4 linked regions of the Saccharomyces cerevisiae S288C genome follow. Changing the gene in region 1 together with any one later gene gives a genetic interaction. Each region holds a gene or a part of one and is shown in the gene's direction. Other genes may lie near its edges.

Region 1 (3,400 bases):
TGCACTGATGAGCTAGTTAAAGACAGTTTCTCTCGAGAATGGGTACAGTTATCATTTACGTATAACGTAACTATTCCTAATTTAGGCTACCAATCTTCACCTGCTATGAATTACTTTAAACCTAGCATTAAGTTGATTCATTTCATTGGGAAACACAAGCCATGGTCATTGTGGTCCCAAAAGAATTTCATTAAAAACGAGTATCATGATCAATGGAATGAGGTATACGAGGAATTTAAGGAAGAACATCAATTAAATAACGAAGTTTCGAAGCCAAAGATTAGTGATTCCGATAAAACTGAGACTCCTGAAACGATAACCCCAGTGGATGCCCCTCCATCGAACGAACCCACTACGAATCAAGAGATCGACACAATTAGTACAGTGGAAGAAAACGTGGACAACCAGAACGCCGAGCCTGTTCCTAACTCGGATCATAGCCCTGCTCCTAACCCTGTCCCATTGGATTTTACCAAGTGGTTAACAACCTTTATTAACAAAGATCACTTGACTAATCAGCCAGTAAATGAAAGCAGAGAATATTCGAAAGAGAATGATAACAATATAATCAATAGCAGTTCAAACCGCGACCAAGAAAGTCCTCCAAATAGTACTCAGGAACTAAACAGCTCTTATAGCGTTGTGAGTACTCAAGCTGATAGCGATGAGCACCAAAATGCAGAAGAGGAGGATAGTACGACAGATAACGCTTCAAATTCTGGAGAAGAAAGCCACCTCGATGATATAAGCACGGCCGCTTCTTCCAATAACAATGTAAGTAATCAACCAGATGGCAAAAATTTTAGCAATTCTAAAGAAAATAATATCAGTGTCGAATCTAGCCCTTCAAATCCAGAACAGAAAAGGTCAACTGACAATATACAAAAACCAAGTGTTTCTACTAATGACTTACCAGACGACGTAGAACCACATACCTCTGTTGATGACAATATACAGTACTTAGAAAAAGACAAGGAAGGTTATGAAGAATTTCTTCCGGACGTGTACGAGTCAAATGCAATCGATAACGAAGAAGAATTTTTTGATGACGATGCAAGAGATGCTACCGAAGGAGAAACGAAGACGAGTGCAGTTGCAGATAAACAGGAGGATATGAAACTTACAGCAGAGGAAACCAACCAACCGCAACAAGAAATGCCCAACTTCAAATTTGACTGGGAGGACTCTGATTATCTATCCAAAGTAGAGAGGTGTTTCCCTGATGATATTTTTGAGTATGCAGTAGAGTAAACTTCCACGCACATATTAGGAAAATTAAAAGACATATCTATGTAAAGACCTTTTCGACTATACAAAAATGCATAACTATTCTATATACATTCAAACTCGAAATTTACTTTAAAGGTTTATCAGCAACAACATCCGATGCTTGCTGTTTATCTTTTCTCACCTCACAACGTTTATAGTGACTGAAAAATTTTTGCATTCTCACCTCGTCTATTGAATGATGTGCTAAGAACTTGAGCTAACATCACAGAACAAAGGTATGAATATACGCAGCCCTGACATTTGTAGATTTTTTATTTGGTCTCTAGTCTTTTCTTTTCTTATTTTATAACAAATTCGTTAAACGGCCTCCTTCTAATTATATACAAGATGTCTGAAGGTATTACTGATATTGAAGAATCCCAAATTCAAACCAACTATGACAAGGTTGTCTACAAGTTCGATGATATGGAATTGGACGAAAACTTGTTAAGAGGTGTTTTCGGTTACGGTTTCGAAGAACCATCTGCCATTCAACAACGTGCCATCATGCCTATTATTGAAGGTCACGATGTCTTGGCTCAAGCTCAATCTGGTACTGGTAAGACCGGTACCTTTTCCATTGCTGCTTTGCAAAGAATTGACACCTCTGTCAAGGCTCCTCAAGCTTTGATGTTGGCTCCAACTAGAGAATTGGCTTTGCAAATCCAAAAGGTTGTCATGGCTTTGGCTTTCCACATGGACATCAAGGTCCACGCTTGTATCGGTGGTACTTCCTTTGTTGAAGACGCTGAAGGTTTGAGAGATGCTCAAATCGTCGTTGGTACTCCAGGTCGTGTTTTTGACAACATCCAAAGACGTAGATTCAGAACTGACAAGATCAAGATGTTCATCTTAGATGAAGCTGATGAAATGTTGTCTTCTGGTTTCAAGGAACAAATCTACCAAATTTTCACCTTACTTCCACCAACCACTCAAGTTGTTCTATTGTCCGCCACCATGCCAAATGACGTCTTGGAAGTTACCACCAAATTTATGAGAAACCCAGTTAGAATTTTGGTTAAGAAGGATGAATTGACTTTGGAAGGTATCAAACAATTCTACGTTAATGTTGAAGAAGAAGAATACAAATACGAGTGTTTGACCGATTTATACGACTCTATCTCCGTTACTCAAGCTGTCATCTTCTGTAACACCAGAAGAAAGGTCGAAGAATTGACCACTAAGTTAAGAAACGACAAATTTACCGTTTCTGCCATCTACTCTGATTTACCACAACAAGAAAGAGACACCATCATGAAGGAATTCAGAAGTGGTTCTTCCAGAATTTTGATCTCCACTGATTTGTTGGCTAGAGGTATCGATGTCCAACAAGTTTCTTTGGTTATTAACTACGACTTACCAGCTAACAAAGAAAACTATATTCACAGAATCGGTAGAGGTGGTCGTTTCGGTAGAAAGGGTGTTGCCATCAACTTTGTTACTAACGAAGACGTTGGCGCTATGAGAGAACTAGAAAAGTTCTACTCCACTCAAATTGAAGAATTGCCATCCGACATCGCTACTTTGTTGAACTAAGGGAGACAAAAACTTCTTAAAAAAGTATCTTGTGAGGCTATCTTGATAACGTAACATATATTTCTAAAAAGTTATATATGCTTTTTGTATTTAATTTGTTTTTCTTTTTACATTCCTATTATTCTTCAAAGTCCAAAAGACTCTCGGCACGAAGGTTGAAATACCCTATACTAATTGTTTGCTTTGTCTTTTTGTATATATCCGAACGTATCTATCTGAAATTTTTCAAATTTATAAAAAATAATATATATAAAAGGAAAAAAAAAAAAATCGATGCCCTACTAATAGAGATTGGAGCTGAAAAGAAAAAGTGTACATCAAACGCTATATCTCGAGGTTTGGGATGGTTGAGTCAAATGATATTATAAAAAGTGGGCTGGCAGAGAAAGCACTAAAGGCTCTAATTTTACAATGTGAAGAGAACCCATCTTTAAAAAATGATAAGGACATACACATAATCATCAACACGGGCAAAAAAATGGGCATAAACAGGGACAACATCCCCCGTATTATTCCATTAACAAAGTACAAGCTATTTAAACCAAGGGACCTAAACATATTACTCATTACCAAGGATCCCTCTGCCTTGTATAGA
Region 2 (3,854 bases), on another chromosome or scaffold:
TTCCACAGCGATCTTAGCAATGTGATTGACAGTTTTGTAGGAAGAATGAGGCATTATCGTGAGTTGACAGGCAAGAATAAACACTGGAACAATCAAATATAGGGTGAAAAATCTGGAAACGTTCAAGGTAGGAAACCAGTTTTGATATAACAACCTATATAACAGAAACAGCGCAGATGACGAATCAAATGATCCTGTTAGTAGGGCCAATACGGTTCCTGATCTTTGTGGGAAGCTATTTGCCAATTGAAAACATGAAATGAAGACGAACGGACCGGCAACTGCCAAAAGCGTGTAACCGACAAGATATGGGTCCCAAAGAGACACTAGATGCTTGGCAGAAATAAAATTACCGCTTGCTAGGAACAAGAGACATGATCCTATTATTCCGCAGACACGAGGTCCATACATATCCAAAATCTTACCGACAGGAAGGGCCATGATGTTTGTTACAGTAGCACTGAGAGCAAATATAAAATTTAATTTCAGATCCTGTGCAGTACATAATAATCTATCACCATCCTTAGGATCACACAATTCATGGTATACACCTTCTGAAATTAAAATAGGTTTCAAAGCAGCAAATCCAAAGATAATACCAGCTGAAAAAAGACACCAGATACAAGCACAGGCAACCTGTGCGTATCTCAACGTTCTTGTACTGGTCATTACAGTCTTTACTGCCCTAATACTGGCCTAACGAGGAATAAAATCATTTATAGATGCCATTGTTATCGTTATCATAATGAAGCATCGTATCGGTAGTTAAGTTAATTTGACGTATTATTACCCGGAGGATTTAATCATGTATAAATATGTATGTGAAGATTATGTGAAGATTACGTGCTATATATACTTGCCTCAGGTCAACTGCTGGAGCCATTGAGCCACTTTTCTCACAAACCCTCTTGAGTTCGGCACAAAGTGGCCCCCAGAGTGCATTAGTAAAGTGCGAGAGTCTTCCGTACAAGAGTTATATAGGCCTTGCACTTTGGCCGGCTCTGTGATAGTGTCAAGTTCTCCTTGAACATGTAGAGATGGGACCGATATTGGATGCAGGTCGTACTGTTCTTGATACTGTTGTGGTTGGAACCTGAAACCACTGACCGCCATGAAAAATTCTAGCGGCGGCTGTTCTTCTGTTGTAAGGCCCAACAAACCATTGAAATCCGTTGCTAGGTATCCAGCTACACCGGCTCCTTGACTAAATCCTACAATACCTGCAAATGGACCATTTTCAAGGACATAATTGTGTAAATAGTCGATTGTCGTCTGCGGTATGAAATAGCCACCGGTGGAAGGGTCATTCTCTAGCCACGCAAGCACACCGGTATTCTCACCATCCCCAGGTGCATCAGCAATTACCTCACCCAAGAAATCAGGAACATCAGCTGGGGGAAATTCATTGGGTGCTGTTGGATAGTAGAGTTTATATCCTAACTTTTCCATTTCGGCGCGAAACCCCTTTGTCTTAGAGGCAAAGTAGTCACCTGACTGCGCAAGCCCATGTAACATCAATACATTCTTCGTCATGGTTACAGCTATTAAATCTTATAGTCTTGTAGTATTGCACATTCTTTCTTCACTTATACCTTTTTTTTCTTCTCTATTCTTCCTTTTTTTGCTTTTCTTTGAATTTTTCAAGTGAAAAAAAATCCTCGATTATAGTGTGTAAAAAGCATCAATAATTTATATTGTATATGGGCTAGAAAGCTGTCGTAATAGCAAAGGGATTATATTAGTGGACCTGATTAATTCTAAAAAGATATTTTACGGATAATAATAAAGGTTTTCTTTTGAGACCAGTTAGTCCATTTCTTTCAACTGGCTGTCATAATTTTGAATACTATTTATTGATCGGATCAAAAGGGAAAACTACAGCTTCGGTCCTCGTCGTCCTACTTGAAACCCTGCTTTTTTTATTTGTTATTAATAATTATGAGCATTTGTCCACATATACAGCAAGTATTTCAGAATGAAAAGTCTAAAGATGGGGTTCTAAAAACGTGCAATGCTGCCAGGTATATATTAAATCATTCCGTACCCAAGGAAAAATTCTTAAACACCATGAAATGTGGTACATGCCACGAAATAAACTCTGGTGCAACTTTCATGTGTCTACAATGTGGATTTTGTGGATGTTGGAACCATTCGCATTTTCTCTCTCACAGTAAACAGATTGGTCACATATTTGGTATCAACTCAAATAATGGCCTTTTATTTTGCTTCAAATGTGAGGACTATATAGGGAATATCGATCTGATTAACGATGCTATCCTAGCGAAGTATTGGGACGACGTGTGCACAAAGACCATGGTTCCTAGCATGGAAAGAAGAGATGGGCTTTCTGGCCTGATCAACATGGGATCCACTTGTTTCATGAGTAGTATTCTCCAATGTCTAATCCATAACCCTTACTTTATTAGGCACTCAATGAGTCAAATTCATTCTAATAATTGTAAAGTGCGTTCTCCAGATAAATGTTTTTCATGTGCACTCGATAAAATTGTTCATGAACTTTATGGAGCGCTGAATACAAAGCAAGCTTCTTCGTCATCTACATCTACTAATCGGCAAACCGGATTCATATATCTTTTAACTTGTGCCTGGAAAATCAATCAAAATCTAGCAGGGTATTCACAACAAGATGCTCATGAATTTTGGCAGTTTATAATTAACCAAATCCACCAAAGCTATGTTCTTGATTTGCCAAATGCCAAGGAAGTCAGCAGAGCAAATAATAAGCAGTGTGAATGCATAGTGCATACTGTGTTTGAGGGCTCCTTGGAAAGTTCTATTGTGTGTCCAGGCTGTCAAAATAATTCAAAGACAACCATTGATCCATTCTTGGATCTTTCTCTGGATATCAAGGATAAGAAAAAACTTTATGAATGTCTTGACAGTTTCCATAAAAAAGAACAGTTGAAGGATTTCAACTATCATTGTGGGGAGTGTAACAGCACTCAAGATGCAATAAAGCAACTAGGCATACACAAATTACCATCGGTTTTGGTTTTGCAATTGAAAAGATTCGAACACCTACTTAATGGAAGTAACAGAAAACTAGACGATTTTATTGAATTTCCAACTTATTTAAATATGAAAAATTACTGTTCAACGAAGGAAAAAGATAAGCATTCTGAAAATGGCAAGGTTCCAGACATTATTTACGAATTAATCGGTATTGTTTCCCACAAGGGGACGGTTAATGAGGGACATTATATTGCATTTTGTAAAATTTCTGGAGGGCAATGGTTTAAATTCAATGATTCCATGGTCTCCTCTATATCTCAAGAAGAGGTTTTAAAGGAACAGGCATATTTATTATTCTACACCATTCGTCAAGTAAATTGATTCAGCAAATAGCATTCAACAATAATAATAAAACAAAAAAGAAGAAAAAGCTATGCATATTCCTATCACAGTTAACGCTTGCTTCCGTTCTTTTTTCTATATCATCGTTTCCATCATGTTTTTCTTTAAATTGAATACTTTCCTATGCTCTTAATGAGTTGCGATTGTGCATATACTGTATTTCAAAATCCTTTGTATCTAACTAAGGAAGAAAATTACTATGACGTTTATTCAGGATTTTTTTTTTTCATTCCTTGCTATACGAACAAAAGAGCAAAGGCTGGAAAACTAAGTGAGTTTATATATAGTAATAATTAAAGAACATATCATTATCATGAATTTAGAATGCAAATTTGCTCCTCTCAAAATGGCATACCTTGTTGTTCGCGAAGGCAAGCCCTTGGTTATAAATAGGATATAATATAATATAGGGATCAAGTACAACTATTTTCTTTTCTTAGCAAGGAGACTTCCAAGAATATCCGTCTTTGGCGTCCTTG
Region 3 (3,912 bases), on another chromosome or scaffold:
ACTTACCCCGCTTTTTCCCTCTTATAATCGATTAATTACTTAGTCGACGAGCAACCTTTTATGGCATATTTGAAAGGTAATACAATGTTCCAACTTCGTTTTTTATTCACAGATCAATTAACGTATTGGCACACCTGATATTTCCTCAATAGTAAGTAGTTTTGGTGATGTAACTTTGACACTACCTTCGACCGAATATTCACTTATAAAACTTATATATTACTTGCTTTTACTTCTAACTTGTCTGGAGAGTTCAATCTTTGTTTTCAGCTCTATATACCGGTTTTCTGCATCGGCGGCTAAATGGTATTCTTTTCCGCTTGGCTCTACACAATGTTTATTAAGCTGAGCGTCGGTGTTTCCGATTTGGACCGTTTGACTTTCTTTTTGGACTGGTTTTCTTTTTTAGTACGAGGTGTACGGACAAAAGATACTAACGGACAAAACGCGGTTGCAACTGAAATTTTTTTTTCACTATTTTCGTAGGGCACATTGGTGTAAATATATATATATATACTCAAGGTTCATCTCGTTTTTTTTAATATTCTTGTTCCTTACTCTTGATCATACGTAGAATGTATGTCTTTATCCTGAAAGTAAAGAAAGGATTATACAATGCTGAAATGTTAGTACTAAATATGAGCATACAATCACTTGTTGTTCACTAGTTCAACGAGTTTCATTCATATTCAACTCACGCAAGGGATTATGGAAGAAGAATCCTTTTTATGAAAGGGAAAAAAAACCGAAATACTATGTTAACTGCTTCCAACGCTCTATACTAATGCGCATGAAGATTTTACTTGCGAATCAAACTGATTCGCACGCAATATCTAAGTCTGCTATACCTACCTTACATCTCGCCGTATGTTATGGGTGCAAGGGTGTTTTTTTTTTTTTATATTTTTTTTGTTTGGGGTTTTCGATACTTTGTGAAGGAACGACGCAGAAAAAAACGAAAATCATACGCCCGATGAAATTTTTGATAAGAAAATTTTCTGAAAACCCATGCGATGAGAAGTCAAAAATTTTTCTTCTTCTCCTTTTCTTGTACTTTTATCCCGGCTAGTTCTTTTTCTAAAATTTTCATATTCCAGTCCAATATTTTACTTCATTTTTTTTTTCTGTTCTCGCTTGGCTTGATTTAATTTTTTACGTAGGTTTTTTTTACACGATATTGTTTGTATTATCAGTATTCCCTTCAAGCTCCCCTTTTTTTTATCAATTAAGGTTCTTGGTAATTTCTATTTCTGAAAAACCAAAAACAAAAAGTCATTGATTGACTATTTGACTCAAATTACCAAAATCATAACTTTTCTTTTCAGCATTCCATTATTGAAGGCTTTAAAATAATAGTTTCTTTTTTCCTATTATTTTATTTTTTCCTTTACATTGGAATACATTTTATTTTGAGTTTTAATTTTTTTTATTTTCTATTCCATTGTTTTTTATTTGCTTTGGACTGCCCTTTTCGTAATAATTTCCCTTTTTACCCTATTTTAGTCACTTCTGTGTCAGCAAGCGGGATTATATAAAGAAACGTTAGCAGAAACAATATCAGCAAAATAGAAAATAAACGGGCAATCAATCAATAACTACAGAAATATTGGGAGGTTTTAACTAATTTTTCCAGGATATTTCAACTTTTCATAAATCAAATTTTTTTTACTTTTTTTTTTGCTTTGCTATAGTATTTTAGAAAAGGACAAAAAAATACGAAAAAAGACAAAAAACCATATAAAAAAATTGATTAGAAGAACTTATAATGGCATTGGCAAATTCCAGACCTTTGCAAATACCAACTTTAGAGAATGAAATTCTTCATAACTCAAATTCTCCAGTATTTCAGTTGAATTCAATGGGATTTACAACTAGAGCTGACACTATTTCGAATCCAGGCACGGATCTTATCGGCAACCAGCCAGGCATGGCCCTTGATGATAATAATTTGGCCGGTTCTTCGTTTTCCTCATCTCAGGAAATAAAAGCTACCAAACCTAAGAAGGACTTTGGTGCTCCCAAAAAAGACAATCCATTATTAGAAATTTCTAAGCTAATACCTGTTACTGGTGAGAGGCCAAAACCCGAAAATAGAGACTCCCCTCTGGATGATGACGTTCTTCACGCAGTTTTTTTAATATTATGGGAAATGGATCCGAATCAACAAGGCATGACCGTCAAACAACTGTGTGACTTGCTTTTGCAAAAACATCCAGATATGTCCAATTTATCAACCAAGTTGTCAAATTTAATTTCCGCAAAACTGAACGCTTATGTTAAAAAAATTGAAAAAGGTGAGAAAACGTTAACTTATGCTTTATCAAGGGAATGGTCTAATTCATCTCCTAGAAGGATGCTCTATATATACAGAGGCATATTATCTCCCGATTACAAGGAGCATGCTCAAGCTGTTACGATGCAACTTAAACAACAATTGGAGACCTCCGGTGATACAAGCGACTTTAATTCAAATGGCAAGAAAAAAAGGGAGTCCAGCAGTAACCAGCTAGTTAACAATGACAGTTATTCAAGTTCTATGACGGACATGAAAAATATGTCTTCTAACAGTTCCTTCTCAAAAAATTTGAATGTAGGGAATCTGGCCTTTTCATTAAGTCCAGAATTCAACATACCTTATTCCACTTCTCCAGTGTCACTAAATCTTTCCCCATCGATGAGTAATAATCAGCAACAATTACTGACACCTAATTCGGCATCGAAGAGTAAAAACAATAATAAAAAAAGAAATTACATGGATGAAGATACTAACGAGTCAATGACCGAGCCAAAGAAAACCAAAACTACTAAACCTGGCAAACAAACAAAATCCCAATCTTTATCAGTTTTATCCACCCCCAAAAAGGGTTCCTCTGCATCTCTTTCTACATTTGCAAGCTCCAAGAATATTTCGCCAGATTCTTCTCTGTCGCATAATGCATCGTCAAATACTTATGTTACTGCCGCTGCCGCTGCACCAAGGCTTTCTAAGCTTTTGCCGAAAAATGGGTTTAAGAAAAATTCACGTAGCTCTTCTGAACTGGCTGCTATCCATAAAGTAATCTCTACACAGACTCCAATTGAGAGCTCTTCAGAGAGCTCTCAATATAACAGTAGTAGTAGTTCACCAGTTAATAGTGCAGCTGCTTCTTCTGCTGAATCTTTATCCGACATCAATTCCAGTCAGGATAACGGAAGAGAATCAAACCCAAGTTCCCAAGAATCACGAAACGAAGTTACGAATTGGATGAAAATTGTGAGAAATGGATTTTTGACACATGATATTGAATCTCCTGAATCAATCACATTAGATGACCTAGAAAATATATTCAATTGATTTTTATCTCCCTTTACAAGAGCATAACGGCTGCTCTACACCTATGTCGTTGTTTTTTTTTATCAACTAATAATATGTGTTCCTCTCATTTGGACAATTTTTAGCTAGTTCTAACTTTCACTACAATATTTAAATAAATAAACAACCATAAATAAATAAATGAAAAACAACTAAACCGTTAGAGGTGGACTAATTTACTGTTAATGACAGTAATTTTTTTTTTTTTGGCTGTTTTCGGTTATTCCGGATATATATGGATTGATCTTCATTTACCCCACAGTTAGTTTATCCGAAATTTGCGGGAAGCTTTATTTTTTGTTACCAATGGATCGCGATTTGCCATGACTGTAGAAAAGAAAAGGTTAACTGAAAAATTCAACTTTTTCAAGCGGACTGAGTAGTAGTGGTCCCCACTTAATTAATTTATTCAATACGTTATATACTTACTGTTACTTCAGGCCACATAAAAGAACAAACTTAAGCTAGACAGGAAAATCCACTCTGGGAAAGGGAAAATGATTAAGTTCACTAACGAGAACTTAATTAGAGGGATCCGAATGACGATTTCCGCAAAATCT
Region 4 (3,707 bases), on another chromosome or scaffold:
ATTTACAGTGTAAAGAGAGGCTGAAGATCAGTCAAAAGACGCGTGCAACAATACACGACGATCATTTACCATTTCTCAAGTAATACATATATGCACGTTCATGAACAGGAACATCAAATGGTGAAATTACTTCGGATTGGCCTGGTCGAGCGACGGGATCCCTTAGGTATACAGCGTGGCATGTCTTGAAAGATATTTCCAAATGATGAGGTAAAATGGCGAAAGGCGATAAAAATGGTCTTGGCTTCCATGGTGTGAAAAAGGGTTTTTTAGGATCTTGCCTACCATAAACATAATTTTTCTGCCACGGCAAGTTTATCAATTTACGTGCTTTTGGTTCATCACCTTCCAATTCAGATAATTTAATCGGATCATGATATTTTAAATTTTTGGCCCATTTGGGGTCGAACGTTAGTGAACCATCAGAAATATCACTCATCCTAGTTTTGAAGTGGTCTGTTATATTTTTCGTCCATAGTTTCACGCTTTCCGCTATGATTCTTTTTCCAGATCTTAAAGCGGATTTGGCTCCATCAGATAATTCTTTTTTTGTGGTTTCGTTAGGATTCATCATTTCTGTAGCCAGTGAAATCAACTCGTCAGGCTGACATTTAGAAATGATTTCTCTTCTAATTTCACCGGATTTGAAAAACTCTTGATAAGCGTTATTTAGACTTTCTAACAACTGAGAGTCCTGGATCTCAGGGAGACCCTGTTTGAGTTCATCTATCGACAAGGGCTCATTATTCGACTTACCTATTTCCTTCTCTACATTTAAAAGCTTTCTCAAGATACCTTCCTGTGTGCATCCCTTTAATGCGTTATATTGCTGTGACTCCAGATTCTTATTATATTGCCTCAAAAATTCTTGAAACTGAAGTTTCTTTGGGTTAGAATCCGACATCTTTTCAAAATTTTCCAACTTCTTCTCCCAAACTTCCTTTGGCTCCGTTTTCGCTTCCTTAACATACTTGTTCCATAAAACTATTTGAGTCTTATCGATCTTTAGCGCTTCTTGGAAACTTGGTTTCTTGGCACCGAGAGCTTCCAGCACTTTGTCCGGTTTGACACTGAACATATCTCCAGGCTTTAAAGTATAGCTTGGATGCTTAATTTTTACACCATTAACGCGAACATTTCCATGCAAGATGAACTGACGAGCTTGTCTTACTGACGAAGCAAACATAGCCCTGAAAAGGGCAAAATCAAGCCTTTTTTCTAATACTGCAAAAGTTTGTAATAAAAATGGTGTTTCCTTGATTTCACCTCCACGCAGTGAAGCATCCAATTGTGCTACTGAATCCAATTTGGGTTTGAAAACGGTTTGCCATCTCTTTTCTGTCAAATGTTCACCATGATAAGCTCGGGTTTCCTGCTTTGCCGTCCACTTCTGTTGATACAAAGATTTAGACTTCAAGTCTACACCACCCTTTTTGTACAAATTAAACAAATTATACTTATTGAAAGAAGTGCGTACTCGTCCTCTTGCCAAAGATTTTAGCAAATTAGCCTTTCTTGGCATTATCTCTGTATTTTAATTGTAACCAGTCTTCCGTACCAAAAAAGTATAAAGGAGCTCCTACTCGATATATATTCGAATTAGTTGCACTTCCTCTGGGGAAACCTTCACCTTTTTGACCGTTCGCTCTCTCTTTTTGTATATCTTCAGCATAGTTCCTTAACTAATACTGCGAAGCGAAACGTATCCGGCTGCCACCATGAAAAGTAAAATCGTGCTTAACGAAGAAATCAATCATATAATCTATGAAGATGGATTGGCGGAGTTTATTAGAAGTTGCTAGCTGCTAGTGAAGAAAAGGGAATCGTGGATGTGATGGTAGTACATTGGACAATTGTGGATGAAATACGACTTCTTAGATGGGCATCTGAATTCAAACCGGCCGGAATTCATAAGCATTTCCACATGTTTTGCATAGTGGAAAGAATGAATTCGCCAGATAAGTATCCAGTGACGCTATTACAGAAAGAAACCATGAAGTTGGGGAAGGTATTTACTGCAAAAGACATATGGGATAAGTTGAGCCAATCTTACAATTTAGAGAAAATTGATGAAATGGAGAATACATATTCCTTGGAAGCCACTACAGAGAGTTCACGGAATGGCAATGGAAATGGTGACGATGCAGAAATTCATGAAGAAACTTTACTTGAATTGAATAATCGAATAAGAGTACGCAAGCAAGATTTTACATTACCTTGGGAGGAATACGGTGAGTTGATCTTAGAAAATGCAAGAAAAAGTCCAAACTCTAACGAAGAGTATCCTCGAGTTGAAGATATGAATGAGAAAGATAGTACAATTCCAAAGGAAAGTCCTTCTACAGACCTAAAGAACGACAACAATAAACAGGAAAAAAATGCGACAATTAAAGTGAAAGAGTTGCCTGAATATCATACAGAGGAAAATGATAGCCCCATAGACGTCCAGAAAGAACCCATTAAGGAGGTGCAAAGCGATGAAAAGGAACTCCAGAGGGAACATATGAGTGAAGAAGAACAGAAAATGAAAAGTACAAATAAAACAGCAGCTCCAGTAAGAAAATCTCAAAGGTTGAAAAGAAGTAAGGAAGTTAAATTTGAAGATGAAGAAAAGGAAGAGATAGAAGAAGATAATACGAAAGACGAAGAACAGAAAGAAAAGAAAGAGGAGATCCAGGAGCCAAAAATAACCCACAATGAAGAAGTAGATAAGGAAAAAAACGAAAACGAAGAAGGTGATGATGAGCGTGAAAAATCCACCTCTTATGAAAATACCAATGGCTCTGAAAGCGAAGGAGTTGACGAAGGAGTTGACGAAGAACTGGGATACGAGTCTGAACGTGAGGCAGAAGGTAAAGGAAAACAAATTGAATCAGAAGGGGGCAACTTAAAGAAAAAAACGGAAAACAAAAAAGGAGATGATCAACAGGATGATACCAAAAAGGATTCTAAGGACAAAAATGAACCATTAGCAAAGAGAACTAGGCATTCATCATCCACAGGTAATACTAGCAATGAAACCTCGCCGAAAAGGAAAAGGCGGAAGGCAGGCTCTCGTAAAAATAGCCCTCCTGCCACAAGAGTTTCCAGCAGGCTACGAAATAAAAAATAATCACTGCTCATATATAGATCGCGATAATAAACGCTCATCCGTTCCATAGAGGTATCTGTATTTAATGTAGTGTAGCAGATATAGAATAAAATAACCTTAATGAAGAAATAGAATATACGTATGCTTCTCCTTGTCTAATCTTTTGTAATTATATATCTATTTCAATTAAGGCTCAGATACTTACCATAAACATAAATAAAAAGCAGAAAGGCGGCTCAATTGATAGTACTTTGCTTTTAGTTGACCTTCAACAATTCGACGTCGAAAACCAAAGTACTGTTTGGTGGAATCAAACCTGGGAAACCACGTGGGCCATAAGCATATGGGCCAGGGATGGTTAACCTAGCTTTTTCACCAACAGACAACTTTGGAATACCAACATCCCAACCCTTGATGACTTGGCCGACACCGATGTTACATTGGAATGGAGAGCCCCTGTCAACGGAGGAATCGAATTTTTGGCCGTTCTCCAAGGTACCGGTGTAATGAATGGTAACCAAGTCACCTGTCTTTGGGAAGGTGGCACCATCACCTGGGGAAATTCTGTCAATTTTGACGTTACCTTCAATTACTTCAGACATTATTACTTGTTTTG

What was found.
Region 2: mutations in TIF1 (region 1) and UBP8 together harm fitness more than expected from each alone (negative genetic interaction), as found in Saccharomyces cerevisiae (3 studies listed by BioGRID).
Region 3: mutations in TIF1 (region 1) and GDS1 together harm fitness more than expected from each alone (negative genetic interaction), as found in Saccharomyces cerevisiae (3 studies listed by BioGRID).
Region 4: mutations in TIF1 (region 1) and EAF7 together harm fitness more than expected from each alone (negative genetic interaction), as found in Saccharomyces cerevisiae (4 studies listed by BioGRID).

What each region holds. Positions count from the first base shown.
Region 1 is NC_001143.9:553,370-556,769, forward strand, and holds TIF1 (translation initiation factor eIF4A), read left to right. Parts: upstream 1-1,617; coding exon 1,618-2,805; downstream 2,806-3,400. Other genes in the region: glycogenin glucosyltransferase GLG1, read left to right, coding at 1-1,251; UTP30 (Utp30p), read left to right, coding at 3,149-3,400.
Region 2 is NC_001145.3:714,777-718,630, forward strand, and holds UBP8 (ubiquitin-specific protease UBP8), read left to right. Parts: upstream 1-1,938; coding exon 1,939-3,354; downstream 3,355-3,854. Other genes in the region: FMP42 (Fmp42p), read right to left, coding at 1-669; FSH2 (putative serine hydrolase), read right to left, coding at 862-1,533; MRE11 (MRX complex nuclease subunit), read right to left, coding at 3,799-3,854. UniProt on the Saccharomyces cerevisiae protein: Histone deubiquitinating enzyme component of the transcription coactivator SAGA complex. SAGA acts as a general cofactor required for essentially all RNA polymerase II transcription.
Region 3 is NC_001147.6:1,003,372-1,007,283, forward strand, and holds GDS1 (Gds1p), read left to right. Parts: upstream 1-1,765; coding exon 1,766-3,334; downstream 3,335-3,912. Other genes in the region: CIR2 (electron-transferring-flavoprotein dehydrogenase), read left to right, coding at 3,850-3,912. UniProt on the Saccharomyces cerevisiae protein: Involved in nuclear control of mitochondria.
Region 4 is NC_001146.8:368,534-372,240, forward strand, and holds EAF7 (Eaf7p), read left to right. Parts: upstream 1-1,834; coding exon 1,835-3,112; downstream 3,113-3,707. Other genes in the region: mitochondrial 37S ribosomal protein uS4m NAM9, read right to left, coding at 62-1,522; peptidylprolyl isomerase FPR1, read right to left, coding at 3,349-3,693. UniProt on the Saccharomyces cerevisiae protein: Component of the NuA4 histone acetyltransferase complex which is involved in transcriptional activation of selected genes principally by acetylation of nucleosomal histone H4 and H2A. The NuA4 complex is also involved in DNA repair.